7 linked regions of the Oryzias latipes genome follow. The protein of the gene in region 1 binds, or shares a complex with, the protein of each later gene. Links are inferred from orthologs where the notes say so. Each region holds a gene or a part of one and is shown in the gene's direction. Other genes may lie near its edges. The genes, in order: b9d2, cep290, transmembrane protein 216, ahi1, mks1, tmem107 and tmem67.

The links.
Region 2: b9d2 (region 1) and cep290 share a complex: the UniProt entries of both Homo sapiens proteins name them as parts of the tectonic-like complex. The link is inferred for Oryzias latipes from reciprocal best matches to the Homo sapiens genes B9D2 and CEP290.
Region 3: b9d2 (region 1) and transmembrane protein 216 share a complex: the UniProt entries of both Homo sapiens proteins name them as parts of the tectonic-like complex. The link is inferred for Oryzias latipes from reciprocal best matches to the Homo sapiens genes B9D2 and TMEM216.
Region 4: b9d2 (region 1) and ahi1 share a complex: the UniProt entries of both Homo sapiens proteins name them as parts of the tectonic-like complex. The link is inferred for Oryzias latipes from reciprocal best matches to the Homo sapiens genes B9D2 and AHI1.
Region 5: b9d2 (region 1) and mks1 share a complex: the UniProt entries of both Homo sapiens proteins name them as parts of the tectonic-like complex. The link is inferred for Oryzias latipes from reciprocal best matches to the Homo sapiens genes B9D2 and MKS1.
Region 6: b9d2 (region 1) and tmem107 share a complex: the UniProt entries of both Homo sapiens proteins name them as parts of the tectonic-like complex. The link is inferred for Oryzias latipes from reciprocal best matches to the Homo sapiens genes B9D2 and TMEM107.
Region 7: b9d2 (region 1) and tmem67 share a complex: the UniProt entries of both Homo sapiens proteins name them as parts of the tectonic-like complex. The link is inferred for Oryzias latipes from reciprocal best matches to the Homo sapiens genes B9D2 and TMEM67.

Annotation. Positions count from the first base shown.
Region 1 is NC_019863.2:10,016,984-10,020,000, forward strand, and holds b9d2 (B9 domain-containing protein 2), read left to right. Parts: upstream 1-1,306; 5' UTR 1,307-1,472; coding exon 1,473-2,000; 3' UTR 2,001-2,155; downstream 2,156-3,017. Other genes in the region: poc1a (POC1 centriolar protein homolog A), read right to left, coding at 1-36, 221-392, 487-571. UniProt on the Homo sapiens protein: Component of the tectonic-like complex, a complex localized at the transition zone of primary cilia and acting as a barrier that prevents diffusion of transmembrane proteins between the cilia and plasma membranes.
Region 2 is NC_019864.2:2,329,115-2,332,981, reverse strand, and holds part of cep290 (centrosomal protein of 290 kDa), read left to right. Parts: intron 1-1,253; coding exon 1,254-1,331; intron 1,332-1,527; coding exon 1,528-1,597; intron 1,598-1,681; coding exon 1,682-1,728; intron 1,729-2,325; coding exon 2,326-2,457; intron 2,458-2,845; coding exon 2,846-2,899; intron 2,900-3,036; coding exon 3,037-3,057; intron 3,058-3,351; coding exon 3,352-3,498; intron 3,499-3,867. UniProt on the Homo sapiens protein: Involved in early and late steps in cilia formation. Its association with CCP110 is required for inhibition of primary cilia formation by CCP110.
Region 3 is NC_019868.2:30,553,127-30,557,503, reverse strand, and holds transmembrane protein 216, read left to right. Parts: upstream 1-1,535; 5' UTR 1,536-2,085; exon of another isoform or gene 2,086-2,208; 5' UTR 2,209-2,283; coding exon 2,284-2,293; intron 2,294-2,591; coding exon 2,592-2,605; exon of another isoform or gene 2,606-2,676; coding exon 2,677-2,770; intron 2,771-2,794; exon of another isoform or gene 2,795-2,875; coding exon of another isoform or gene 2,876-2,915; coding exon 2,916-3,008; intron 3,009-3,791; coding exon 3,792-3,993; intron 3,994-4,059; coding exon 4,060-4,075; 3' UTR 4,076-4,195; downstream 4,196-4,377. Other genes in the region: transmembrane emp24 domain-containing protein 9, read right to left, coding at 1-147, 224-349, 552-652, 1,168-1,300. UniProt on the Homo sapiens protein: Part of the tectonic-like complex which is required for tissue-specific ciliogenesis and may regulate ciliary membrane composition.
Region 4 is NC_019880.2:267,400-270,677, forward strand, and holds the end of ahi1 (jouberin), read left to right. Parts: intron 1-1,808; exon of another isoform or gene 1,809-2,030; coding exon 2,031-2,119; exon of another isoform or gene 2,120-2,211; intron 2,212-2,218; coding exon 2,219-2,387; 3' UTR 2,388-2,575; downstream 2,576-3,278. Other genes in the region: MFS-type transporter SLC18B1, read right to left, coding at 2,756-2,795, 2,864-2,910, 3,034-3,127, 3,199-3,273. UniProt on the Homo sapiens protein: Involved in vesicle trafficking and required for ciliogenesis, formation of primary non-motile cilium, and recruitment of RAB8A to the basal body of primary cilium.
Region 5 is NC_019872.2:25,021,717-25,025,583, forward strand, and holds the end of mks1 (Meckel syndrome type 1 protein), read left to right. Parts: intron 1-222; coding exon 223-292; intron 293-361; coding exon 362-469; intron 470-587; coding exon 588-721; intron 722-1,290; coding exon 1,291-1,373; intron 1,374-1,458; coding exon 1,459-1,556; intron 1,557-1,739; coding exon 1,740-1,843; 3' UTR 1,844-3,089; downstream 3,090-3,867. UniProt on the Homo sapiens protein: Component of the tectonic-like complex, a complex localized at the transition zone of primary cilia and acting as a barrier that prevents diffusion of transmembrane proteins between the cilia and plasma membranes.
Region 6 is NC_019874.2:18,549,574-18,553,940, forward strand, and holds tmem107 (transmembrane protein 107), read left to right. Parts: upstream 1-1,532; 5' UTR 1,533-1,839; coding exon 1,840-1,926; intron 1,927-2,256; coding exon 2,257-2,324; intron 2,325-2,405; coding exon 2,406-2,506; intron 2,507-2,747; coding exon of another isoform or gene 2,748-2,844; intron 2,845-2,920; coding exon 2,921-3,017; intron 3,018-3,180; coding exon 3,181-3,250; 3' UTR 3,251-3,602; downstream 3,603-4,367. Other genes in the region: tripartite motif-containing protein 46, read right to left, coding at 13-271, 982-1,041. UniProt on the Homo sapiens protein: Plays a role in cilia formation and embryonic patterning. Requires for normal Sonic hedgehog (Shh) signaling in the neural tube and acts in combination with GLI2 and GLI3 to pattern ventral and intermediate neuronal cell types.
Region 7 is NC_019874.2:17,683,395-17,687,705, forward strand, and holds the start of tmem67 (meckelin), read left to right. Parts: upstream 1-1,286; 5' UTR 1,287-1,319; coding exon 1,320-1,521; intron 1,522-2,388; coding exon 2,389-2,483; intron 2,484-3,237; coding exon 3,238-3,328; intron 3,329-3,453; coding exon 3,454-3,553; intron 3,554-4,311. UniProt on the Homo sapiens protein: Required for ciliary structure and function. Part of the tectonic-like complex which is required for tissue-specific ciliogenesis and may regulate ciliary membrane composition.

The DNA of each region.
Region 1 (3,017 bases):
GCGGTGTGAGCCCTGAACTCTGTTGAGTCCGCCTTTCTGTAAGCACACACATCACCACAAATGAAAATCAAACAAAACTCAGTGGGTTTGACCAGTTTTGACTTAAAAATGATGAGTGGCATTCAGTGATTTCAGCTTTGTTACTCTGATGAGGCATTATTGTTATGAAGGATAAACAAAGTAACGGTAAACAAAATGACAAATTGAAAAAAAAACCTACATGCTGGGAACCCAAAGACGTACAGTCTTGTCTCTGGAGGCCGAAGCGACCATGTGACCCGATGGAGAAAACTGCACAGACGTGACTGCGTCTTTGTGGCCCTCAAAGCGATAAGCTCGCATCTGAGGTTTCATGTTCCAGATCATTACACATGAGTCCACAGAACCTGTGGCTGAGAGAATAAAAAACACAGACAAGAAAGAAAATGACTTTGCTGAACGTAAAAACACTTTGGCAATTAGGAAAATCAAGGAGAAGATACCCACCAATCTGTTTCATATTGCAACTGAAATCTACGCTCGTCACTGCACCCCTGTGACCCTTGAAATGCCTCTCAAGGGTGGGATCAGACTATTTGAAAGAAAAAGAGAGAAAACCAAATCAGCCCAAGGAAAAAAATGTATTTAATAACCTGAAAAAACCAATAAAAGTTTGTTGCTATAGGTTCAAGCATCAAAAGTGTTTTTGGGTGAGCCAACACATTAGGACAATTAAATAAAATCAACAAAACAATCAAAATCATTAAGAATGCATAAAATATATATGTACACAAAAGACCTATGTTGTTTTGCACTCTTGATCACAATAGAAAAATGGTCATGGTTACATTTATTATGATTATATGTCGTAAATTATGACATAGCAATGTATTCGCTGATAAATGCAAAGAACTATATCACCACCATTGCAGAGTACTACAAAGTAGAGCCACTGAAGGGGCTATTTCCTTTTATTCTTTCCTGTGTTCTGATATGAGGCACTGTAACCTCCTCCAGTTTGATACAAATTAAAACACACACATGCAGACAAAGGCAATTTAAAAAAATGTATTTGAAATGAGCAGGTATAAGTTTACTTTTTAAAGTTAGAACAAAAATGAAAACAAGACACCATGAAACTTTAACCCTGAGTATAGTTTTTCAGGATACAAATGTATAATATTGTGGTTAATTATTGTCCTTCACCGACTATTTACCCCAAAATAAAATCTGGTTAGTAACGGGACACACGAGTTTCCCGCCAGTGGTTTCCTATTATCTTGCTTTGTAAGAAACGGAATCACATTAAGCAGAGAGCTGTGCCTGACAGTCAGAAAGGAGGGTTAAATCTTAGCGCTGACGGCAAACCGGTTTGTGTTGCCAGGGAGACGTGTGCGGCGGCTGTTGCTAGCCGCTAAGCTAGCAACTACTGGCGAAGGGTGGAGGAGCCTTTTTTGTAGTCGTATGTTTTGGTCAAAGAAGGCTGTTGTAACATGGCAGAGCTGCATATTATAGGACAAATCCTCGGGGCCAGAGGCTTTCCGCAAAATAGTCTATTTTGCAAATGGGGAGTTCATACTGGAGGAGCATGGCGGCTTCTCTCTGGGCTGAAGGAGGGCCAGACCCAAGTGGACATCCCCCAAACGGGTAATATGGCCTACTGGAGTCACCCAATCGATCTACAGTTCGCAACTAAAGGACTGCAAGGTTGGCCGAAGCTACACCTCCAAGTGTGGCACCAGGACTCGTTCGGGCGCTGCCAGCTGTACGGATACGGATACTGCCACGTCCCGTGCAGCCCCGGAACCCACCGGATAGAGTGTGTGACGTGGAGGCCGCTCGGTTCCTGGCAGGAACAGATCACCCAAATGTTTGTCGGCGGAGGTCCACAACTCCGCAGTCCGGACCTCATCTACAGCGGAGCGGACAGATACCGACTGCAGACCGAGGCCATGGGAACTGTGGAGCTGGAGCTCGGTGTAATTATGAGACACTTTGACAAATATGGTGTCGACAGCTGATGCGTGACATGACGGAGCAACTCCGAAAAACCCATGACATTTCAACTGGCACGTGCTTTATATTTACACATGACGCTTCTCCACGTTTTTGTACGTTTCAAATTGCAATTATCACTCAAAATGCCAATATGTGTAAATAAAATACTGTCATCGAAGTTGGTTGTTTTTTGCTGTACCCTAGTTTTTACCTTTAACTTGGTTTTAATAACATTTTCTAGCAGTCCTCCCCTCATTCCCCTTATGAGACAGTTTTGCAAAGACTTTGGTTTATTTTGATATTTAAAAAAAATGTACCTTAAATCCTCAAGTAAGATGACCTCTCATTAAGGTCACAAAACTGATGACCTTACTAATAGTATGACATTTTACAGGACATTTATCCTGATATATTGATTTTAAATGCAAAATACAAGTTCCTCTTGAAAGGTAAAAGGCATTAGTGATGCTCACTAAACTTTAAATCTATGTGATGTGCAATGTAACATAGCAACAAAAGAAAATAATAACTCAAGTTAAAGTGTATTCTAATTTAGAAAAAGAAAGCCCTCAAATAATGGCAATGTTGTAAAATAGATTAAAGAGCTTTGAAAAAGATCTAAAGACGCGCTCTAATCATTTTTTATGTATTGTAAAAGCGTTCCCAGTGGTCTTTTAATTATGATTATGCAGTTTTAAGCCAAAATAAAGAAACCTGTGTTGTTTACTAGGACGTAGTTTCTGCAGAACGTCAGGAGTTAGTTAGAATTGTGGGCAGGGCTGATGGCATGGAGTAAGCCTTCTGACAGTTCCCATCATCCATCTGTTTACACACCTTTCCCACTAGCTTACAGCCCCCCACCTGAGGGGTATTCCAGAAGGCACGTTTAAACAAAAAACAATTACTCTACCCACTCTAATTTACTCTACCCAATTTCTTATGCCTGTCCAACTCAATAATTGTTTATACAACTCAAATTTACATATTAATCTAACTTTTTCCATCTTAATCTATTGTACTTCTTGACCTCTCATATGTCT
Region 2 (3,867 bases), on another chromosome or scaffold:
TCCCATAGACTTCTATGAGAAATAAACAGCTAAAACTCTGTAGGTTTATTTGACAAAATAACTATTCTTTCTCTTCTCCTTGTTTTTAACATGTTCTTAATAATCCTTATTTTTTAAAATGATATTTTCATAATAAACAGACCAATCAGATGCCTCAATAAAAGCATGTGGTGCCCACTGGCCCCTACCTCGAATGTTGGAAATGTATGATCGACAGACTTTCCCGAGCCCACTTTTAGTGAAAGGGGAATGGACTTCTAACAAGCTTACCGGTACTCCTAATTGGTGAGAGTGGTTGCCATAGAGACATTGACTCAGATTGACTCGGACCATTCAATCTACTGCTTGCAGACGTCGTCTGACTCCGACTTGGTGGAACCGTATTGTGAAAAATGGTAACTTAATTAAATGCATTAGGTTGGAGCCGGAATTAAACCATTTTCTAAGGGTGACGTCACACTGACTCTGCCCAGTTCTCTTATTCAGTCAATGGTCGGTTTTTTATTGAGTTGAAAAGCGAATCTCTCTTGTTATCGATCAATCTTTGTTCCAATACTCACCTATGGCCATGAACTCTGGGTCATGAACGAAAAAACAAGGCCCTTAATGCAACCGCCTGAAAGGATCTTCCTCTGCATGGTGGCTGCATGTCACCCAGAGAGAGCTGGGAGTAGAACTGCGGCTCCCCCACATCCAGAGGAGCCAGTTGAGGTGGCTCAGGCATCTGGTCTGGATGCCTCCTGGACACTTCCCTGGGAAGGTCCCACTGGGCAGAGACCCCAGGGAAGACCCAGGACAGGCTGAAGAGACTGGTCTGGGAACACCTTGGAATCCCCCCAGAGGAACTGGAGGAAGTGACCTGTGAGAGGGAAGTCTGGGTACCTTTGCTAAGGCTTCTGCCCCTGCGACCTGGTCCCGGATGAGTGGGATAGATGGATGAAGACAACCTTTAGCTGTTTGGCTAAGTCAGCAGAATGTACCCACTCAGCAGCTTTGATTCTGCCTGCTCTCACTGGAGATCTCACATAGCAGCCCACTGCTGCTGATTCAGCTTTAAAATATAAACAGTGTCTTTAAACTGCTATGAGTTGGGGAAAAATGTGTGTATGTAGCAATAATCCTATAGGCTGTAAATAAACAGACACTCTTGGTTTGACCTCTCGCTGTTTAAGTTTGGACTTTTGTTTTATTATGATGTAAAATGACTCTGCTGTTGGCAGTTCTGCCATTTGAACCATTTTTTCTCCACACAGACAGAAGAATGGGAGGTGAAGGATAAAGCTCCAGAGGACATTATTCACATCCTCAGGGTGTGTCAGGCCCTCTTGAAGGTGTCAGGTTTTATTATTTCTACACTTTGATCTCTACATTGAGCATCTGTTAACTGCCCCACCAGCATGTCTTCTATGAAGACAGAAGATTCTATGTGCAAGACACAGTCTTGATGCAGATGTTTGTTTGGACACATGCTGACTCCATTATTGATACGTGCCTGTCATTTTTAAGTCAACTCTCTTTTCCCTTTAGAGGAAAGATCGGGAAGTTGCTCTCAGTGATAGTTTCATAAATGAGATCGGCATGCAACATGCCAAAACTGGTCAGTGCACGGTTTCACCTACCTTGCTTTCTTTTTAGCTTAAAAAACACAAACAACACAGCTTTTAATTTCTGTATCCCTTAGAGAAGGAATTCCTCGCAAAGATATCCAGGCTGGAACAAGATCTAAAGGTAAGTAAGGCTTTTGAGGTTTAGTTTGGTCCATTAGTTCCTCTGCACTTCATGTGTGCATTGCTGCAGAGTGCTCTGTGTTCTTCCAAGAACTACTAAAATGTTCTTTTTGTAATTGCAAGCATGACTGCAGCCACTGTTGCAAATTTAATAAGGCAAAATAAAAGAAATAAAAACACGTCATTCATGCATGTGACGTGAAATCACTTTTCATGCCTATTTACTTCTGGCAGCAGAGCCAATTCTTTGAGCCAATCACAGAGTGCAACCCTGGCCACCACAGGATTGGCTGTAGTGACCACAGAGACACAGCACCTAAGAAGATTACATTTAATTCCATGCACGCACAGCACATTCATTTCTTGTTTTAACTTGATTGGTGTTTTGGTTTAGATTGTTTTAAATGACTATGGCATGCACAGTCATCCTCCAAATGTTAAAACATAATTGTCAATCTCTGTTAAAGGGAACAAGAATGTTGGCAAGCTTGTATGTTAGGCCTGTAAACAGATGGAGGTGATGAAAGACTAAAAGATTTCCCAGTGGGAGTTGTTTGGGATTGTGTTTGTCTTGTTTCCGGTCCACATGGCAAAGCAGCTCGGCACTGGGCCAGATGCTCGCTTTCTTAGAGAGGAGATTCGGCTGCTCGAGGCCCAGCTGGAGGAACGAGAGAAGGACTTGACCCAGTTAAACAAAGGCATGGGAAAGGAAAAGAAAACCAATCAAGAGGTAAGCGTGTGCCACCCATTGTGCAAATGCTCCGTATAGAAGTCAGGCTGAAGAGTTGAGCTTTTAAAGATCCTCTGTAATGTTTAAAATGGGACTTTACACTGGTGAACCCTTTAAATACATTCTTCTATCCTGACATGTGGCAGTGACCTTTTCTGAATCCAATGATAGTCACATTTTGAAATGATCAGCTTATAAATGTTGTTTTGGCCTTTCTCCAAAAGAAATTGTTGATACGACTTTTCCAATTGATATTCTATTAATGGGTAAATATTTTTAGCTTTATTTAAACTTGCAGAAAAGATTTTATTGTGTAGAAATTGACAAATATTTGAACTATAAATGCAAATGAAGGATTTGGTATTAAACCTTGCTTTTGGTTTCGTAGTTGACGAAGAGATTAGAGGAAGCTGAAGACGAGGTGAAGAAGCTGAAGAGAGAGGTATGTCAGAAGCAGAAATACATTGCTCAGATAACGATTTATCCCCTTCATACTTTGTCATGACTTCACCTAAAACCTTCACTCAAATCCTCCGTCTTTGCTCATCCTGTCTTCTGGGTTTCTGCTTCACGGTATAGTTGAAAAAACATAAGAAAAAGGTAAGACTTCTAGGGAGTGATGTGTTGTAAAACAATGTTTTGGTTAGCATGAGTTTGCTAGTGTTTAATCTTCCAGTATTTGCTTTGACACTACCTTTCCATTAGCATAAATAAGTTGGCAGTCCTGCAATCCATGAGGTTGAAGGTGTACCATGACATGTACAGGCTGTCCAAAAGACAACGCTATCCAAATAGTGAAATGTGGAAAAGATAGCTATTTAGCATTAGTTTATAATTGTAGGACATTCCTCTCTTTTTCCTGAAATCAATTCCCTCCTTCCTGTGCCACAACAGAACGAGCAACTGCAGCAGGATGTGGATTTCTATCGTAGAGAGCTGGACCAGAGAGTTCTGCTACCATCCAGAGATGAGGCCGATGAGACTCAGAGGAAGCTCAACTTGGCCAACCGCCAGCTTTACCAATGCTTGGAGGACCTTCAGGTTCTTGGAAATGTTTTGGTTGTAGCATGTGGTGCCTTCAGCAAGTCTGTGGTTTAGACAGAAACCTCAGGAAAACCCACTTGGGTCGTTCAGTGTGAAGTCTGGGTCGCTGTGTAGGCCAGTGTCTCATGCAATCCTCAGAAAAATATGGGTAGTGTCCGAAATTCCTTTACTACTCACTATATAGTGCGTTTTGCATTTGCCAATGTCCTAGAAATTTCCCAAAGGTTTTTGGGAAAAAAAACAGTATTCTTTGATGCTAACTAGATTTGCGAATGTCGACCACAATGAACAATTTTTCATGTGAAAAAAATGTATTTTAATGAATATTTAGAAAACCCCTCCATGTTTTCATGATCAGAACACATA
Region 3 (4,377 bases), on another chromosome or scaffold:
CCTCTGGTAGTTCTGCTCCTTCTGGATCTGGTCCACCTGCTCCACCAGCTGCCGGACCCTCAGCTGCAGCTCCGTCAGCTTGTCCTTGGCGGCGATCTCGGCGTAGTTGTTTGCGTGTTCGCCCACCTGGATGTCCAGGTGAACTCTCTGCGGCAAACAGACGGCGGTTAAAGCCGTGGGTGTGAAGGTAAAGGGGCGGAGCTTACGCCGACCGCCTCCTCACCAGCGTTCCTCCCACAAACAGGGAGAACTTGGAGGAGTTGGAGTGCAGGCAGATCTGGTGCTCTCCGGGCGTGTGCGACGTGAAGGTGAAGCGTCCCTCCGAGCCGTACTGCCGAGACAGGATCACCTGCAGGCGAGGGAGGAGCTTAGAGTCCACTCCACCAAAACCTCCACAGAAGACTAACAGCAGCAGCTCCAAGTCCTCCTCTGGATGTTTACGGAGGTCAGGACGCGGTTGCCGTGGTTACAGAGACCATCTAACGAAGAGACCTTCCTCAAAGTGAGCATCACGGCACTAACGTGTCAGGAGGACCTCCTCCGGCGCTTACCTTCTCGTCAGGATCCTTGACCTCCACAAACATGCCCAGACCCGGGCTGGCCGGCAGGTACTCCTCCTTCTGCTTGTCGTACAGCTGCGTGCGGTAGTTTCCTGCACACAAACACAAGCGCCCCACAGTCAGTGACAACATCCGGCTGAACGCAGCACTTCCGGTCCTTGGACGCGCTGGTCAGGACCGTTGGACCCGCTTTCCCGGTTCTGCAGGAACCTCAGGGAGCGACCGGTCCCAGACAGCTCCTTCAGAACGAACCATCATCAACTCTGGTCCGGACCTCCACCTGCTGGTTCCTCCTGGAGGAGCTGCCTGCCCATTCTCCAGGAGAACCGCTTGGGTTCCTGGTCTAGGTTCGGGGAACGGGCTGGATTCTTCAGGCGGTTTGGTTTGTTATCCGCGTGCTGATAGGATGAAGTTAGCTTAAACCGTCCTCCGTTCCCCGGTAAAAGACCGATCCTACATCCTCACCAACTTCTACTACGAGGTGTTCGCCAACGTCTCCGTTCATCAAACGGTTCACTAACTACTTCTGGCGGCGTTGGGAAACTTTTTGACGGCGAACCGGAACTTTGTGAGCGTTAGCCGCGCGGCAGCTAGCTTAGCCGCTCACCGATGATCATGGTCTCGTCCGGGATCTCCTCGATGAAACATTTCTTCTCGAGCTCTCCGATGTGGAAGTAGAGCGCGGGCGCGCGGCTGCAGAAGAGCGCGAGCAGCAGGAGCGCCAACACGCACGGCTGCATGCTGATCCGGACCGAACCGTCTTCCAGCCGGAACCACCGAGCTCAGACGGAGTCTGCGCGTCCGCAGCAGTGCCACGTAAACCCTGGCGCGCCTTCGACCAATCAGAGCGCTGCGATGGCAAGCTGGGTATTGTAGTTGTGTGCTGGGCAGAGCGGATGACATCAGAACCAGATTGTGAAGGTTCCTCCTCCTCCTGGAGTCACTGTGGGTTTTTTAATTCAACTTCAAAGGATTACACATTCATGTAACTACAATAGAAAGACATAACAAAAGAAAAAAAGAGTAAGATACAAGACAAATAAATAAATAACATTAGAACCGTAGTTCAGAGAACTAGGGATTGTCATTTAACATGTGATCTTCAATGAAAATTGACAGTTTTATTGCATTTAAAATATAAACAGATCTCTTTATGAAATGTATTGAATAATGATTTGATTTGTAAAAATCTGCCTTTTATAGATGAAAAATTTCCCAAAAATTAATAAAGTATTAAATGCCAAACTAAATAAGTTATCACCAGAAACGACTCCAAATAATACAATGTGTAATACAATGTGTTTTGTAACCAAATAGAAATAAGAAAATTTGAAGAGAACCACCAAAAGAAATCCTCCCAAAACCTGTTAGTATTTATACATTTAATAAACAGATGATCAAGTGTTTCTATGTTGATGTCGCAGAAAGAACAGTTATTTTCTTTAAATGAGGTCTCTGAGGGTCCAACAGGAAACAGCAACAGAAACCCGCATGTCACGTGATTTCAGACCATTGATGATAAAAGGTAACATCGACTAATTATGTATTTAGAGTGATTCAGTGGTGAAACTGAAGAACATCCATTAATAAAATAATGTGAAATTGTTTCAAATATTAGTGTCTTCTGTTTGCTCATCCTGACCAGCAGGGGGCAGCACGGAGCCCCGCCTGACGCTGTCCAGGGAAGAAGAGCCGTTTCCATAGCGACCACAGCGGCTCAAACATGGCGCCTGGTGAGTGTTTTCTTATCATCGTCGCAGAAAGAACGGCGCAAAAACCGCAGGCCGTCTTTCCCCGTCATTTTTCTGCAGCTATCAGAGACGGACGGAAACACTTCCGGTCCGCCGTTGATTTCCGGTTAGCGGCTAAAAACATTCCCACTCGGTGTTTACCTCTGAAACGTTCTTAAACCACCGTCTAAAGCTAAAGATAATCCGGTCCAACAACCGTCACGTCTCCTAAACGCTTCTTAAGCCTCACGTTCAGTTTCACTCTCAGTTTGACAACATTTTTGTCTCACCGCGTCTGCAGGGAGCCGACCAATCGTATCCTTCTGCTGTCAGAGGGGGCGGGGCCTGTCCACCAGCCGCAGTTGTCCTTGACCACGCCTCCTCAGCTGTCCTCCACGCCTCTGCAGGTGCTGCTCTACCTGAACAGCTGGTACTTTGCCGCTTTCTACCTGGCGGAGATCCTCATGTTCATCTACAAAGGTGTGTGGCCCCGCCCCCCTGCAGGTTCACCACGGCTTCACCTGAGAATGAAGCCGAAGGTGTCGTAGAACCTCCAGCCTGTCCTCTGTTCCTCTGCTGGACGTCATGGAGGAGCGTCTGACGGTTGCTGCTGGTGTCGCTGCAGGGATCCTGCTGCCGTACCCGTCTGACAATCTGGTCCTGGATGTGGTCCTGCTGCTCCTCTTCCTCGCTCTGGAGGCTCTGCGCATCTTTTACGGTGACGCCAAACACAAACATCTGCTTTGCTTTCTCCAGAACCGCAAGTGCGGCTGAGAGGTTCTGGAGAACAAAGATGGAACATGCAGGATGAAGAGGATGCAGACGGGCCTGACATTGGTGCTGGATGAGCTAACGTCAGAACAATCACGGTTCTATGCTAGCATGGAAGTGTCAGAAAGACCAAGAATGTGGTTTTCAGATTTAAAAAGGACTTCAGAGCATGAAAGGCATGCTGGGATGTGTAAACGATGATGATGCTGGAGATCAAAGCAGGAAGAAGCTTGGTTCCGTGTGTGAATGTGTGACCTTCATCGTTGTGTTCGGAGCTCCGCCTCTGAAGGTTCTGTTGAAGCGGAACCTTCGGTGCAGAACCTCTCCACGCCCGTCTGAGCGGTGGTCCAATGAGGAGAGAGCGTTCTCACTCTTCACCTGGACGGCCTCCCAGACGGAGGTGGAGGGTTCTCCTCCTGGGTTCCAGGGTTCTGTCTGTGGAAGTGACATGACCCCCCCCCCCCCCCCCCACGCCAGAATTTATATCCAGCTATGAAAAAATGATCAGTTGTGTTTTTGCTTTCAAGTTGAGGCTAAATGAAAGTCGGTTTGAGGAGGAGTGGTTCTTCCTTGCACCAGTGGGCATGAAGGGGTTAAAGCATCTCTGCAGACGTTTGCTGCCTGGAAACATCAGACTCAAACCTGCGGCGAAGCGTTCAGCCGCTCAGGCTCTGTGCTGGTTCTCAAGGCCGGCTGCAGGCGCTGACGCTGTCCCCCTGTGTCGATTCAGGCTGGAAGGGGAACCTGTGTGAGCGCTCCCTGACCTCCTGCCTGTCGCTCTTCATCCTGGTCTCTTGTGCGGCGCTCGCCGTCTACTACCTGCTGCTGCAGACCTTCGTTCTGCGGCTGGAGTTCCTGCTCTGCGCCGTCCTGCTCTGCTTCTACGGCCTGGAGTTCCTGCTGGGATTCATCGCCTTATCTTCCTTCTCCAGGTACCCTGAGCCCGCAGGCCGGTTCTGAGAGCCGGGAAGTCTTTGACCCTCGATGTTCTTGTGCAGGTCCAAGGTGTACTGAGGACAGAAGAGCGGTTCTCTGGAGCCCAGAGGGACACCAGGACAGTTGTTAGCATATGTGCCGCTGACACAAGTTTCTGTGATTCTTCAGGGATTTTTGTAAATAAACATTTTTCTGCAGCTTTGTGAGTTCTGTGTGTCACCAAAATCAGATGAAGCCGGCCACGGGCCACTAGAACCTCCACAGGTCTGAGTTTCAGCTGGAAAACCTTTGATCTGTGTTTGCATGAAGGCTGTCCGTCCTCTTTTCTTAGGAATCACGAGGCCGTCCCTCAGCTGTCAGTGCGCAGAAACATCTGCGCA
Region 4 (3,278 bases), on another chromosome or scaffold:
ATTAGAGACTCTAACTAGTGCAGTTTCCGTCCTGTGGTGAGGTCTAAACCCCGACTGAAAGTCTTCAAAGTGGCTGTTGTCCTGTAGGTGGCAGTAAAGCTGCTTAACTACAACTCTTTCTAGGATTTTAGAAATAAAGGGCAGGTTTGATATCGGTCTATAGTTGGCCAAGATGCTAGGATCCAAACTGGGCTTTTTCAGTAGAGGTTTAACAACTGCATATTTAAAAGACTGTGGCACGTAACCCGTTTCCAGAGAGGTATTTATCATTGTTAATATGGGATCATTAATTAGGGGAAAAGTTTCTTTAAAAAGTCTAGTGGGAATTGGGTCTAACAGACACGTTGAGGATTTGGAGGACGTAATAATTGATGTTATTTCCGCTTGATCCACAGCAGTGAAGCAGTCCAATGTTACAGAGGTTTCTATGGATGCCTCCATTTCTACCGCTTCAGCCTGTTCTGGGCTGATAGTAGGAATAACTTGATTTAACTTATGTCTAATATTTGAGATTTTACTATCGAAAAATGTAAGAAAATCATCAGAGCTGAGAGAAACAGGAACATGTGGTTCTACTGAGCTCTGACTGCGAGTTAATTTAGCTATAGTGCTAAAAAGAAATCTTGGATTGTTTCCATTCTCTGATATTAAGGTTGAATAGTACTGGCTTCTAGCTCTACGCAGAGCTTTTTTATAATTTAATAGGCTATGTTTCCAGGTATTCAGAGACTGCTCTGAACCGGAGCGGCGCCATTCTCTTTCCAACTTACGGGTTTCTTGTTTAAGAGAACGAGTTTCAGCGTTAAACCACGGTGCTACTCGGTTTTGTCTAACAAACTTAGGTTTCAAGGGGGCAACAACATGGAGTGTACTCCTGAGGGCTTGTAAGGCATCATTAACAAAGTGGTCATTTATACTAGGACTGATACTATGGGAGCTGGTCTCAGAGTATTTTCTCAGAATATCACTAAGTACTGGCTGAACTGTGTGTTTAAACTCAGACACAGAACGGTCAGTTAAGGTTCTTCTAAGCTGTTTCTTATTCACTGGGACAGAAGGATGTTCCAGTGTAAACTGGAAGGTAATCAGAAAGTGATCAGAAATGATGGGGTTAAGAGGAAGGACACTCAGCTGGCTGATCTCTATCCCATGGGTTAGAACAAGGTCCAGGGTGTGCTTATGACAGTGAGTGGGTTCATTCACACTTTACAAACACATTACAAACTCCCCTCAACAGGAGTACATTTGGTTTTGGTTCCTGGAATGTTAAGACGCTTCCATTAATAATCAAATGATCCAGCAGGATCACGCCCCCCTGCTGGCCGAGCGGGAAGTGCAACATTTTTATATATGATATATGATATATTTATCATATCATCATATTTTATATGATGTCTGGGTGGTTCTGGACTGGTCCGGACCCTTTGAGAACTTCCCATCAGGCAGTTAAAGTGGTGATTACAGAAGTAACAAATGATAGATCTGACCGTTAAAGATCAACCACAGACCATCGGCTCTGCATCCAGCCATGAACCGGTTTAACATATATTAATATATATATTGAACATATTCTGTAATCTGTTGGCGAGACCGTAGTTTTCTGATTCAAAGACCCACTCCGATGGCATCGGTGATTTAACATGTACTGGTGGCCTTTTCTCACAATGGAGAACTTGCATAAAAGAAGATTAAAATGCATATCTGAGTATTTCTATATTCAAATTGTTGAGCAGCAAGTGAAATGGGCGGGGCCACAAGCTCCCTGCTCGCTCCGTTCTGGGAAGCCTTTGAAAACAGACCAGAAGATGGTCAGTTTCTTTTTTTATTAGACATGAACCAAACTCTGCCTTCTCTGCTCATGTTAATGCAAACTAAAGTATTGACTGACTTCATGCTGAACAAAGACCATCTTCCTGAAATCCGGCTTATATTTAACAGGAAGACGGCCGATCCGGATCATTCAGGAATGTCATGATCTAAAGACGGACTTTGTCTGAACTGTTCCTCTCTGACCCCCTCCTGGTTTTCAGGTCTCTGCTGCTGTCAGCTCGTCCGGAGAGCTCAGGTTTCTGTCCGAACCCACTCTGTCAGACACTGAACCAGAACTGACTGACGCCAGGTAAGAAGCTCCTATATCCTCCAGAACCACACAGATCCAGTTACCCCAACACAAACATGTCTGGCTGAGTTCCTGAAGGATCCATTTCTTTCCTGAAAGCAGAACCAGAAGAAAGAAGAAGGTGAAAAAGCCTGGAGTTCCTGTGTCTTCATCTCAGACTACAGTTTCTGACGCAGATACTTCTGGGTCGACCAGAACCATAAGAGGCAGACCTCTGCCACCGAGACCAGCGGGGAGGTCCAACAGGGCCTTTGAGGCCGACACGTAAACTGTGGACAAACCCAGAGAGCCGTTCTGATGTCACTAATACTCCACAGCATTATTGCTGCGTTCTCCGTCAGAAATTACCCAAAGATCTTTGGTGTTTGAGGCTGCAGGTGTTTGTGTGAGGAACAAGAACATTGTGTTCAGGAAAGTTTTATTTTGTACTATTTACAGTAAAAACCCGTGAAACAAGCGGCTCCGTGTGAACAGGATTCCTGTCCGCTCTCTGGAGGTTTTTGGGGGAATAATCCCGCTCACCAGACCTAAGCTGTTAAGCAGGAAAAGCTCCGGACAAAGGCCCGTTCTGGCAGGAATGGCGTTCAGATCTTCTCTCCGTGAGCAGAGCGGCTGGCCCCGCCCCTAGATGTTTCCTCAGTCCAGCAAAGGAGTGCTTTCTGCTGTTTGCTGCACGCTGCAAAGACAGAAACTCTCAGACTTCAGGTTGATGAGGAAGATTCCTGATGATGGATCTGACGTTACCTCCCCCGCCGGCGCTCCCAGAGGGAGTACATCCCCAGGAGGAGGGCCTGTGGACAGAGACAGCTTCACTGCACAAAGGGTTAATGATTGATCAGAGCTAATCACATTCATGACTCCTTCAAAGTGGGTCAAAGATGAGGACCCACCCCCGCAGAGTCAGGAGTACTCACAGCCAGAAGGCCCACGCCCCCCTGGATGGTGGCGGCCCACTCAAAGGTCAGATGTTGGGTGATAAGGCCGCCCACAATGGGGCCGTAAAACATTCTGTAAGAGACGACCACACTTCAGGCCAGAAACATCAAAGACATGCAGCGATTCTGTGGTGGGACGCTCACCCCGTGGACCAAAATGCACCAAACAACCCAGAGACCATCCCCAGGGTGCTGAGGCCCTCCTCCAAGCCTTTCTCTCTGCA
Region 5 (3,867 bases), on another chromosome or scaffold:
GTTCCCTTCTCTACCTCTGTGCCGGTCCCAAGCCCGGTTGCTTTGAGAGGCTTGCGTCAGGAAGGGCATCCGGCGTAAAACATTGCCAAGTTTACCATGCGGCTCGTTCGCTGTGGCGACCCCTGATGGGAAAAGCCGAAAGAGAAACAACTTGCATGTAAGAGACTAAACCACTTTTTTGAGTGGAAGTTGTTAAACCCTCAACAAACTCTCCGTCTACAGGAAGATGTGGCTTTCTTCAGCTATCCCTTCACTTTTGAGGCTCTTTATATGAAGCAAAAAGACGGTGAAGGTTAGTATCAGCTGTTAAGTATTATAGCATAGTTTATGTTTTATGAATCCAGGTTTTATCTTACTTTAGAAGGCATTCCTCAGTGGCCAGTGATTTACTTCAAGGTTCTTTCCTTGGACTTCTGGCAGCGCTATCGAACGGAAGGCTATGGTTATCTGCTTTTTCCTGCCACGCCCGGTACGATGTATTTCCTGAAATCTCATTTAAATTCAGTTTATTTTGTTACTGTTCACATTTAATCAAGGGATTTCTAAATGGTTAGTGTTTCTACATCTTGTTTGTGTTTGTATACCAGGTAAACATACCATGACATGTCACACATGGAGGCCTGTTCAGACAGGGACTGTGTCTGCAATGAAGCGCTTCTTTATTGGAGGTTCTGCTGAGCTTGAAGATGACAGTTATGTCAGAACTCCAGGAACATTCAAGGTGAATCAAAGCTGGCTCAAACAAAGTTTTAGACAATTGATGTTGATTTTTATCAGGTATAAAGTTAAATAAATATGTTGTGATTTTATCGATACATACTCCTTGGGCAGCTGGGTTTCAATTGTCAGTTGAAATTGAGTCAATCCTAACTTCAATAAAATTATTGATTCTTCCATTTCTGAAATACATTTTTGTGAATATTATTTGTCAAAGCAAAAATTAAACGTTTTCTTTTTTTAAATCACTATTTAAGTAATCCAAAAAATTGGACTTAGGATAGAAATCTGAAAACAAATTGATGATTATTTTAATTTTTGCTGCTATATATTGAATTAAATTGTACACTTTTGAATAAAAAAATCAATAATTTGCATTTACTGTGACATTCTGGTGGAAACCATTTAACGGAGTGCAAATATCAGAATAACCAACAGACTTTGAAAAAAATGATTTCTTTGGGTTTTTGATAAACAGGGACTTGCTTTTGATACATGATTGAAACAAAGGTGTTTTAGTATTTACAGTATGTGTATGTTTTTTGTTGTTATTCTCTAACATTTTTGTATCAGGGGGACAGGCTGAGTCGCTTTGGTTTCTGCACTGTAACCACAGGAAGCGTCACTTTTAACCTGCACTGCATCCAGCAAGCCAGGTGAGTGTCAGGTAAGCGTCAAACAGGTCTCAGTCTGCCAGCAACATAACTACAGTGGTCTTTTGTGTCCGTGTGTACATTTCAGGGCATTTGTGGATGCTGCTGTTCTGAAAAGGAGGAGACAGAAGGTTTTTGAGCATTTGGGAGGATTTAGTCAACAAGGAGCTGTTTGCAACATTCTGGGTAAAAAAAAACAAAAAATCCATTTGACTTCCAAGCCTCTTTGCACTGAAATTCTGGAGGTCTGAACTTTATTTAGGGATCAACATTTGTTGGGCTATTGGGATGCAATTAGGATTTAAAATGTGCTGTATTTAAATGTTAATAATAGTTTCATTTAACACGTTTCATGTTTTTCTCTGTCAGAGGCTTTTCAGAGAGCGAGGAAAAAGATGCAGGAGGCCAGAGAAAGTTTTCCGAGAGGCGTAATAAACACTGGTTCCCAACTCCAACAGGAATCCTCAGCATGAGACTGAAAACCAAACTTTCAGTGGGACTGAGTGGAAGAAGATCCTGGCACAGACTCAGAATTTTGCAAAGATGACTCTCTAGTGACCGGTCCAGTGAGCATCTGTGGAACATTTCATGTTTTAAGGATTAATAAGTCACTTTGTCAGGTTGTAATGATGCAAAACATACATCAATCCACCAAAATGTGGAAAAAGTGACCACACCTGCCTTAGAAACTACAGGCAAATTTCACAGCAGTTTTTAATGGCTAAGGAACTTGTTGAAAATCCACTCGGGAGTTTTTTTTTGTTGCAATTAACTCTTTTACAAGTTCTAAGCTGCTTTTCACCTCCTGCCCTCTACAGAAGCTGCTGCGCTCATGTTCTGCCAGTACCTACTGATGTACGCAGATACGAGAAATGTTCTGGTGCTGTTTAAATCTACTAAAGCTTACTTTTTACTGTCAGAAATAGCCTAGTGATTAACAGAATGAAGCTGAATTAGCCACTAACCAGGAAAGCCTTTGTGTCGTTTCCCTACATCAACGGGTCTATTTGGGGCAAAACAGAGACTCTTGCTTCATGTCCCTCAAAAGGATCTTCTCAGAGCTAATCTCAATTTACCTGACCCTCTGCTGCTTTACTTTAACCTGGTTCCATGAAGCACCATACCAACTTTCAGTTAAAGACATTTAGCTTTTTTCTCATTTAAACTCAGTTAAATTATTATTGATCTGCCCCTTAACAGTACAAAACTATTGTTACAGTCTACTGTAAAAATAGAAATTGAAATCCTCCTGAAACATCTTTTTCACAAATCAAGCAATCTCTATAGTCTTCTCCTTCTTTTTAGAGCCGGTCTTAAGGATCTCGTCATTCTCATTTGATCAGCCTATGCACAATTTATGCATCTGTTCTTTTGCTATACTTGATACAGGGATGAATGGTGCTTGGTTCAGAATAGGATTTTAAAAACGATGCCAGTTTGGCTAAAAGAGATCATGTTCTCAGGATTACTGTCAGGAAAAAAAAATCAGCTGATTTTAATTTGTTGGGGTAGTTTTTGCATTTTATTGCATATAATTCTACAAATAAATGTTTTTGCTACAAAATATTTGAAGTTTCATTGTTGTTATACATTTGTTATTTTAATTAAAGCAACATCCTTTTTTTTTTTAAAACAAACCCAACTTTTTATGTCATTTTTATAATTTTGAAGCCACACTGTATATAAGTTACAGGTGAAAAATAAAGTATTGGTTTCATGGATTGTGGTAGTTGACCCTAATGGGCTTTTGATAAAGCTTAATTGATTTCTTTGCTGTTTGTATGCTGTTTCTCAGTGAATATCAAATGAAAAAAAAATAGATTTTTATCTTTTGTGAAGCGTCATTTAGTTAAGAAACTAATGCATTTTATTTTTAGAGAACGTGTTCTTTGATTTTATGAGGATTTACAACACTGACCTAGGTTAGAAAGGCTTTTATGTGCTTGCAATTTAATCTTTAACTATGTAAAAAAGATTGTAATTTGCATTTTTTTCTTTTAAACTATCAATAATATAAACACCTGCAGTCTTGCACGTTTACTTGTTAAAAGTAAGATGCTCTGATAGTTTAAAACAACAAAACAACTAGCAAATAAAAACACCAACATGAACATGGCTTAAAAAATTGTCATTAATTAAGCTTCATTTTTGTTTTAAAATAAACGGTTGGGTCAGAGTTTGTGCTCCAAATCATGAAAAAAAAATTGATTTCATGTTCACACGCCCACTTTTCTGCACTCCAGTAGGAAGTTTTCCAGTTTCCTACGATCGTGAACTCACCATCTATATCCCGATTCTCCATCTTTTTCCCCACCAAGCACAGGACCAACCTACGTCTTCGACCTCTTGGACTATTTTCCGGCTCACGTAACCGCAGCCAGGTATTGAACATGAAACTGTTAAAAATGAAATACAAGTAGATATCTACACGTTTGTTTTGATTATACTTTTGAGGGAGGTGGCACAGTGACAGTCCAGCGGCAGAGTAGCTCCGTTC
Region 6 (4,367 bases), on another chromosome or scaffold:
CACTTCCCTCACCTGTTCTGAGGACCCGCTCCAAGCGGTCAGGAGTCCTGGGTGTGGGTCTGTGAGTTTGGCGTGGGGACCGAGTGTTCGGCGAGGAGGCTGGTGATCTGGGTTCCGGAGGGAGGTCTGGAGGAGGGTAGCCTCTTTGTACCAACACCTCGGCCGCGCACAGCAAACACACACTGTGCTGGCATGGCAGGAGGACGGGCTGCTTCACGATCTCGTCACACACCGGGCACAGCAGCTCCTTTTCCATCATCTTCATGTTGGACTGGAGAAGAGGGAAGAGGAAAGTTCAAGAAGACAACAGAGCTGCGACTTGATTTAAAGAAAGGAAATGATGGCAGTGATGAAGGAAATATCTAGATGAACTCTGGTTGTGTGCCGTTTATTGCACAGGACAAGAAGGAAAGAAGAACGTAACCTCCATGATGCTTAGCAGTCCTCCTGTGATTGCTTCACTGCTTCCTATTTCTAAGAGTAAATTGGCTGAGACATTATTTTTAATAAAAAAAAACAATTCAAACAATGCAGAAACATTCTGTTTGCCATTGATTGTTGCTTCTTTTTTTTTTAGGTTGTGGTGGCCCCTTTCCATTACTGCAGCCACAAGGCGCGGCATCCGGTTTCTATGACAACGCACATCTTCCTCTGGCCCTGATTTTATGCTATTTGGCAACATTCTTAGGTTCTTATATCTATTAAAAATGAATTATGTGGTCGTTGCGACTGTATATTTTCTATTGCCATTCACCACCTGACTGTGGCTTTCAGCCTATTCCGGGTTATTAAAGCGATGACAAAACATGTTTGTAAACGGTAGAAAAATGCTCCGCATTCTTATTTCATAGCCATGATTGTCCAGATCAACATACTATCAATAAAGCAAGTTATATGTAAGACTACATTATTGTTTTTCCTCTCTTAGATGTAGCACGTTTGAAATGGCTATATTAGAATAAACCGGCGTCGCACACTTACACTGATACGAACCAGCGCGTCCATGACAGAGGTAAAGGTTTGGAAGTCCTCTTCTGCCATGCTCTGTTGTTCTGATGTGCACGCTTCCAAAGAAAAAATGTTTCGTTTAAAACGATTATTAAGTGGGTGTGAAAAATAATCCCCGGCTGTTTTGTAGCAAACACTAGGCCCTGACGTGCACAGATAGCTGTGCTTGAGGTGTGCTGCTCAATCTCTGTCGTCTATCCAAATGCGAATGGAATGGTTGCTGAAACTGGTGGAGGGGGGTGGGGGCGTTTTGCCCCAAAATGTTAGCTTTATCGGGGAGCGTTTAAAAAACATTCTTTTAGAAAATAAAAACAAAAAAAAATCGGCTTTTCTACGTTCTTTAGATACGCGAGGCTATGTTCATCCTACAATCACACGTTAACTTTGTCATGTTTTATTTTTGTGTGTGTGTTGTCGTTAGATGCTAGTGTTGTGTGCTGCTTAACAACAAAGGCGATGGGTCGCATCCACTTCCCTTTTGTGTCCGGAACGTTTGGAAGGTGGATGTTTTTACGGGTCGCAATATTGGATGCACCCAGCCACTGGCTGTTGTAGCAACCCAATGCGACACCGGGGTGTGTTAAATTTCTATGTATAATTTTGTTTAGAAAAAAGACTATTAAAGAGTAAAATTTTAATTTTATAAGTTCATTGGCTTTAAAAATGCTTGATTATCATTTTTGGATTATTTATTGAACCGCGGTTGCGTTGATATACCGCGAACCAGGAGCGACGACTGTTGTGTGAGATCTGTGAACTCCAACGTGACCGTTTGGCTTTAAAATTTAGAATTTTCTAGCATTTCTGACACTTCTGTGAACCAGAAACAACATGTCTTCTATTAGCAGTCTAATTCCTGCGCGGTTTCTCACCATCATAGCTCACCTTGTCATCGTCATCACAATCTTTTGGTCCAGGGTAAGTAAGGACAGTCCGTGTTGTTGTTAAAGCTTGAAGGACGACTCAAGCTGCCATAGAAATATTTTTTATTATTATTATTAATATTATTATTGTTTTTTGTAAATATCAATAACGTGTAGTTTGTGATTTTAAAATAAAGAACAAAAGTTTTTAAAAAAATCGTGAAATAGAAATAAATTCTACTCCACAAAATATTTTTCCTAAACTGCAGAAATATAGATTTTTGTTTGCTGCAAAAAGTTTATTTCTCCTTTTTTTTATAAACAATTTTTTATCTAGAAATGTTACCATAATCGGCTATTTTATGTATTTGTTTCTGTTTTCTAGGAGAATAATGTGAAGGCATGTTTGCCTTTGGAGTTTACTCAGGAGCAGTATGACACAGAAGACAGAAAGTAAGTAACAAATGATTGAAAATATATGAAAAAATCTTGAATGCTCACATTCTAACCCGCATCCCTTTGGTTATTGTTCAGGTTGGTTGTAGCCTTGTCAGCCACTCTTGGTCTGTTTGCTATCGAGCTAGCAGGCTTCTTTTCAGGAGTCTCCATGTTCAGTTCCAGCCAGGGTCTTCTGTGTATCCTTTATACTGACAGTGATGATTCATATTTGTCATGGTCATTGATACTGAACTATTGATTCACAATTGTGAGGAAAATAAAGATTTTCAGATATTGTCTTTTCTCCAGCAGCTCTAGCTTCTAAATGAGCATCTGGTTTATAGCAGAAAACATGATTTACAAGAATAAATGAATGGATTAAACAATGCTTATTAGTCATTAGTTACAATTCCGTAACTAAGAACTTGTCTGCTATAGCAACAGGAGTCCATGCCAGTGCCTCTGTGGCTTTGCTCTTTTTTCTGTTTGAGCAGTGGGAGTGTGACATCTACTGGTGGATCTTTGCTATTTGCAGGTTAGTCTTTTGACGCCTAGCAAATCCGTTTTATCCTTTTTTCCCCAAAGTTTTCCCTGACAGCTGCTCCTTTCAGCATTAGCTGTCCACTGCTCCGCATCCGTATCTTTGTCTTTCTTTGTGTTTGAACAATGGGAATGCTGGACTTACTGGGTGATTTTTGCCACCTGCAGGTTGGTTCGCCTGCATGCTTGTTTTCAATGAATAGTTGGCTTTTAGAAAGACAGCATACTGTAACAGTCACTCTTATTTTGAAGGAATTTGAATGCATTTAAGGATTGTTCTTTTATCTTTCTGGATTTCTATTAATTTCTTTTTCTATTTCTCATCTTTCAGTGTCTTGCCAGCTTTTGTGGAGATTCTTCTGTTTATTGCGGTTTTTGGACTGAAGAAGAAGCCGTTATGAAGAGGAGTTGATTCAGATTGAATGGATGAACGCTTCCATTTGTTGCTACAAGACAGTAGCTGCAGAAATTCAGTTATTAGATCACCTTAAAAAGGGGCCAACATTGTTAGAATTTCTTCAGCAGGCATCAATAGATCCAGAAAGAATGTTTTTTTTTTCAATCTTTGTAAATATATTTTGAACTATGTAATTACAAAAAATAATTATACTATGTTGTTTGTTTTGAATAAGTTGGAGAGTTAGCAAAAGTTTAAAATGTAAACCAAGTTTTTTGTTGTCAGTAGTGTATTTGTTTCTCATGTAAAGCTTTTCAACGCTAAATCCAAAATACATTTATACTTTTTTAAATAAGTCTTATTTCTCTCATTGTATCTATCTTTATCCTCATTTGGTGACTTAATTGTCAGAGAAATATTAACCAAACTGAGCCAGAAGATAAATTAAAGTCGGGCGACAAGAGTATCCAGAACCGCAAGGTTACAAAACATGAAACAGTAACTTCATTTTTGTGCAGCTATCAAAAAAAAGAAACAGTATTTAAAATTGATTTAGGGAGGAAAAATCCTTTCCTAAATTATTAATGTAGTGAGACATGTTGTAATATAGAAGAATTATGTCTATGAAGACTCTCTTTCATCCAGGTTGATTCCATCATAGTAGTAAGTTTAGGGGCTGTCCTCTTAGTTTTTAAAGTTAGAAAACGTTTCACCTCTTATCCAAAAGACTTTGTCAATTTTGTAATATAGGCTAAAAAAGAAAGGTTTTTTGACGTAATGATCCCTCCCTTCTGCTTTTCTGCATGCAGCTGCGGACAAACCATTGCAGTTGTGATAAACAGAATCAGGCCCTGCATTTGGTTCTGGAAAACACAAACTGAAATGGCCAAAGTATCAAATCCCTTTAATTCTGTAAATCTTTTGTGTAATTAAAAACCTGAACTCACAAGTAGTTTTATGTTGTAAACAATTAAAAATGACTCCAGTCAATGGTTGAGCTTTATGTCTTTCCATAAACACTTTCGTTAATTTAATTTTTTTTAAAGAAAGTATTTTTCTAAATGCATAGGTCCCACCCTCTGGTCCTTCCGGAAAACCTGTCCGGGTAGTCAAATAGTTCT
Region 7 (4,311 bases), on another chromosome or scaffold:
AAACACAGGTTTGTATAAAATATGCTGCAAAAAAAGTAAGTCACACAGTCAACCAAAGTTAGCTGGGTGATAATACACTTGAAGCCCCTGCAACTGCTTTGAAGTCTGACATAAACAATAAATCACACTAATAAGCTGCACATATTGGGGCATGATGTGGTTGTACTTGAAATGGACGAGTACTGGTGATGAACTTAAATTGATCTTAGGTCACACTAAACCTGGTTGAAGTAAAAGTGAAAGATTTCCTGTATACATCTATGATATTTAGATTTAAAATTGGCTATCTGTTTTAAATGTGCTAATAAATCTTCTAAAACCTGAATCAATGTTACATTTCTATATTAAATGCTAAACCTTACAAAATAAAATTAATGCACAAAGATTTTCACAGCATGGAGACTGACAAAAAAACATCAGGTCCAAGCTGAAGTTTTTTTTTTCATTGATTGCATCTTCAGGAAGGAGCTTGATAGACCTTCACAATAACCTTGATAAAAAAATAATATTGCAAAATAATTTAGTCTGAGGCTAAGATGATATGTCTGGGTGGATGGTTTGAGGAGGCAGATGTCGTCTGCAAAGCAAAGTGTTTCTGGGTCATAAATTGACTTCTTTGTGACCCAAAGACGGACCAGCTGAAATGAGTGACAGAAAAAGAAAAGTTAGATTTTAATCCACAATAGCCTCTGGTCTTTGAAAAAGAAAGCTTTAAACTTTCAATTAAAATTGTTTCACTACGAGGTCAAATTGGTAAAGATCATTCTGCTATCTGTACCCCCCCCCCCCCCAGCTCAACTCAAAGTCTCTGTTGTTTCTGAATGTCTATGTAATCAATAGCAGAACATCAACAAACAAGAAAAAAACTAGAGCTAAAATTAAAATCACTGAGTCGAAAGTCACAAAAATATACTTATTTTTACTTGTGGACAAGGTTAAGTATTATAGTCAAATATACACATACATATATATATTGTTGCTGGAAGAGGCAACATTAATCCTTAGAGCTGCCTATATTTCGTTACAGAGAATCCCATTATTGTTATCCTCTGTTAAGACATCTTTTTAAAAGTATGAATGAAAACCATTATTATTTGATTTAGTCTATGAATCTTTGAGATTCTTCAAAGAACTTCAAAGAGTTTAAGAGTTGTCTTTTTTTATTCTTTCACAACATTAGTGATTTATTTATTTATCCTCACGGTGTCTCCAAGATGTTCTCTCCCCAAAAGAACATTTTAAACTTTTTTTTAAGTTGGAACGCCCTACGTCATGACGTGTTGCAAAGGATTGTGGGTAAAAAGGAGGACATTTTTACCATGGCGACGGGGACGCCGCTTGTTCTTGACAGGCAGATGTTTTGTTTTACATTGTTTTATGTGATTCATACGCACCTTTTCCATTGCCAGCAGTTTCTTATCCCCTTTAAAGATCCTTCCGGATGTGGTGTGAACGAATTTTTCGACATCTCGAGTTTGTCGTGTGCCAAATGCGGCGCAAATCAACGCAAGAGTTCTTCAGGTGGGTATCGATCACCACGCGATAAAGCTACATGATACAGTGTACACACTGTAAACATACCAACATTAGTGTATATATCTAAAAATAAAAACAGATAATTACATTCAAACGAGTTAAGCTCCAGCTGTTGAACAACCTCGAAGAAGTAAAAGCCAATTTGGTTCTAATTGTTTTCTGTTGCTAGCAGTTAAGATAGCCTTTACTTTACTGTATCATGTACATAAAGAAATTATTCTTAAAGAAAGTTTTTGTTAATCCAAATAATGTTTTAATATGTACACACTAATATATTATAGACTATTTAAGATTATTTAAAGTTTAAAACCTTAACCTTTAAGAACATGTTATAGCATGTGGTCTAAAAATCATATTTTTAGAAGTTTAATTGAATTACCATAAATATTCCCTAACTTGTATAGGAAAAATGGCATAAAGCTAAACAAGCAAACTCTGTTCAGCTTTAATGTTCAGAACAAGCTAGTCTCATTTCATTTTTCATGAAACAGGAAAGCTAATCATTTTTATTCTAAACTGATAAATGTTTCAAACTAGTTTAAATAAATGTACACTGACTGTTCTTATATGGACCTGCTTTGAGAGGCCATATAGGATTGCACTATTAATGTATGATTTGTTTAAACATACTGTTGTATCTAGAGAGACGGTGTGAATCTGAATTGACCCTCATCAAAACATCAACCAGCCTCTCTGGGTTTCTTTCTTTTTAAATTTAAATTCAAAATGCACAATATAGTTGTTGCAAGGATTTTTAAAATAAGATTTTTATTTAACTAAATATTAGTATTTCCTTTCACCATTGAAAACAATATTATTCTAAACTATAAAGAAATGTCTTGTCTTATATAGGTCTGAGCTGCATTTGTCAAACGGGTTACAAGACCAAACATTTTAGCAGCAACAAAGTCCCGTTTACATGTGAACAGTGTCCCCCAGACAAGCCTGTAAGTATAGCTTTCTTTCATAATGAATGTTCTGATTCATGTTTTTTAAAACTACTTCACAATTGAATCACTTAGTTCAAAAGGGGCCCAAGTCCACAATTTTTCAAAATAGAGACATTATATGTTCTATGGTCTTCAAGGGAAAAGCTATCTGATTATGTGCAAAAAGTCCCAAGTCCGTTGTAATGTACTGTCTATACTTGACATTTAAAATGCATTAAGTGCAAAATTCCTGAACTTGGGCCTTTCTTGCATGGGTTTTGCTTTATCCCATAGATGGCAGCACTAATTATCCAATATGGCAGCGCCCCTGTCAATGCAAGGGTGGGGTCATCTAAGATAGCACAAGGGTTAACCCTTGTACTATCTTAGATGGACACCAGTGAGGTTCAAAAATAATTGAAGAGAAAAGGTTCAGCGCACTGACTAGTGGGTCTAGATGACCCAACTCCTTAGGATAAAATGCCTAGGATAGCACAAGGGTTAATTCAAGAAGGGCCCAAGTCCAGAGACTTTAGTTTGCTAGTCCTCTGAAATTATAAAAGTGAGCTGCTTCATATTATAGCATTTGTAAGCTATGAACTGGTGCTAAATCTGGGTAAAGTATTAATCATTTAGTGTAGCCCCCCTTTAAGCTATGCAATTAAAATCATTTCCTGGATTAACAAACCTCTTGGACTTGGACCCCTTTTGAACTAACCGATTCAATTGATATAAATAAAAGTGCTTATTGGTGTCCTGTCCTTTATTATAGGCAGTAACGAAAGACGGCTTTGGTTGTATTCGCTGCCCCGGCAGACTTGATGATAATGGCAACTGCCAGTGCCCATCTGGAAATATCCTAGGTGAGTTACCAGTACAATGAGAGGTTTACAACCCAACAAAAAGGGTTTTCCCTAAAAGCTGTAAATAAGGGTAATTGTAAGTTTTTTGGTAGAAAACTTTTATAAATTTTTCTTCTTTTTCTCAGTTGAAAGAGACATTAATGGCACATTTTTTGATGAGGCCAGTTGTGAAGCATGCATTGGAGACAGCCCTGCCTTCACTGCACCAAACAGTAATGGGGACAGGTAATTATATACAGTACAGACTTAATATTCATGAGAATTTCATTTAACATATTTTACTTAATAGAAAACTCTAGTTTTCTGAGAGGAGGTGCTTTGTGCTACATTTGCACTGTTAAATAAAAATATTTAGGGATTTACAAAGCGGAGCGATTTTCATTATATTGCATAGTGGGTCATCTTTACTTTAGTGGAAATGAAAAATAAAAGTCAATAAAAAAGTGATTTTTTTTTTGTTTTGTTTTAGTATAGGGCAAAACAAATTTGACAATTTCTTATATTCTTGTTGTATCTACAAATATCTATGAAATCTTTTTTAAACTTTTGCTCCGATTTTCATTATTCAAACAAATATAAAAATAGTTAAACATGTATGATTTGTTGTATTTCCTCATATCTTTATCTCTGAGTGTTAATATTTACTTTTGTGTTATAAAATTGTGTTGTGTCATTGAAAAGTGTAAATGGGTAGTTTCAGCAGGAATGTTCAAACTTTGAGTTTGCCCAGAAGTTGTTCTGGACAAATCTCAAACGTTTATATACTGTATGTATTAATTTTGTGGTTTTTAAAACAGTGACATTATCACCATAAAATGCTTCAAATAGCAAAAATATTATGAGAAGACAATGTGTTACAGGGTAAATAGCTTAATATCCAGTAGTTGTTTATTGTTTTGTTTTTTGAATTTCTTTACTGGTTTCTGCTTTTTTCTTCTTGATTTCCACGTGTTTCTAATGAGCACGAGCTACATTTTCTTATG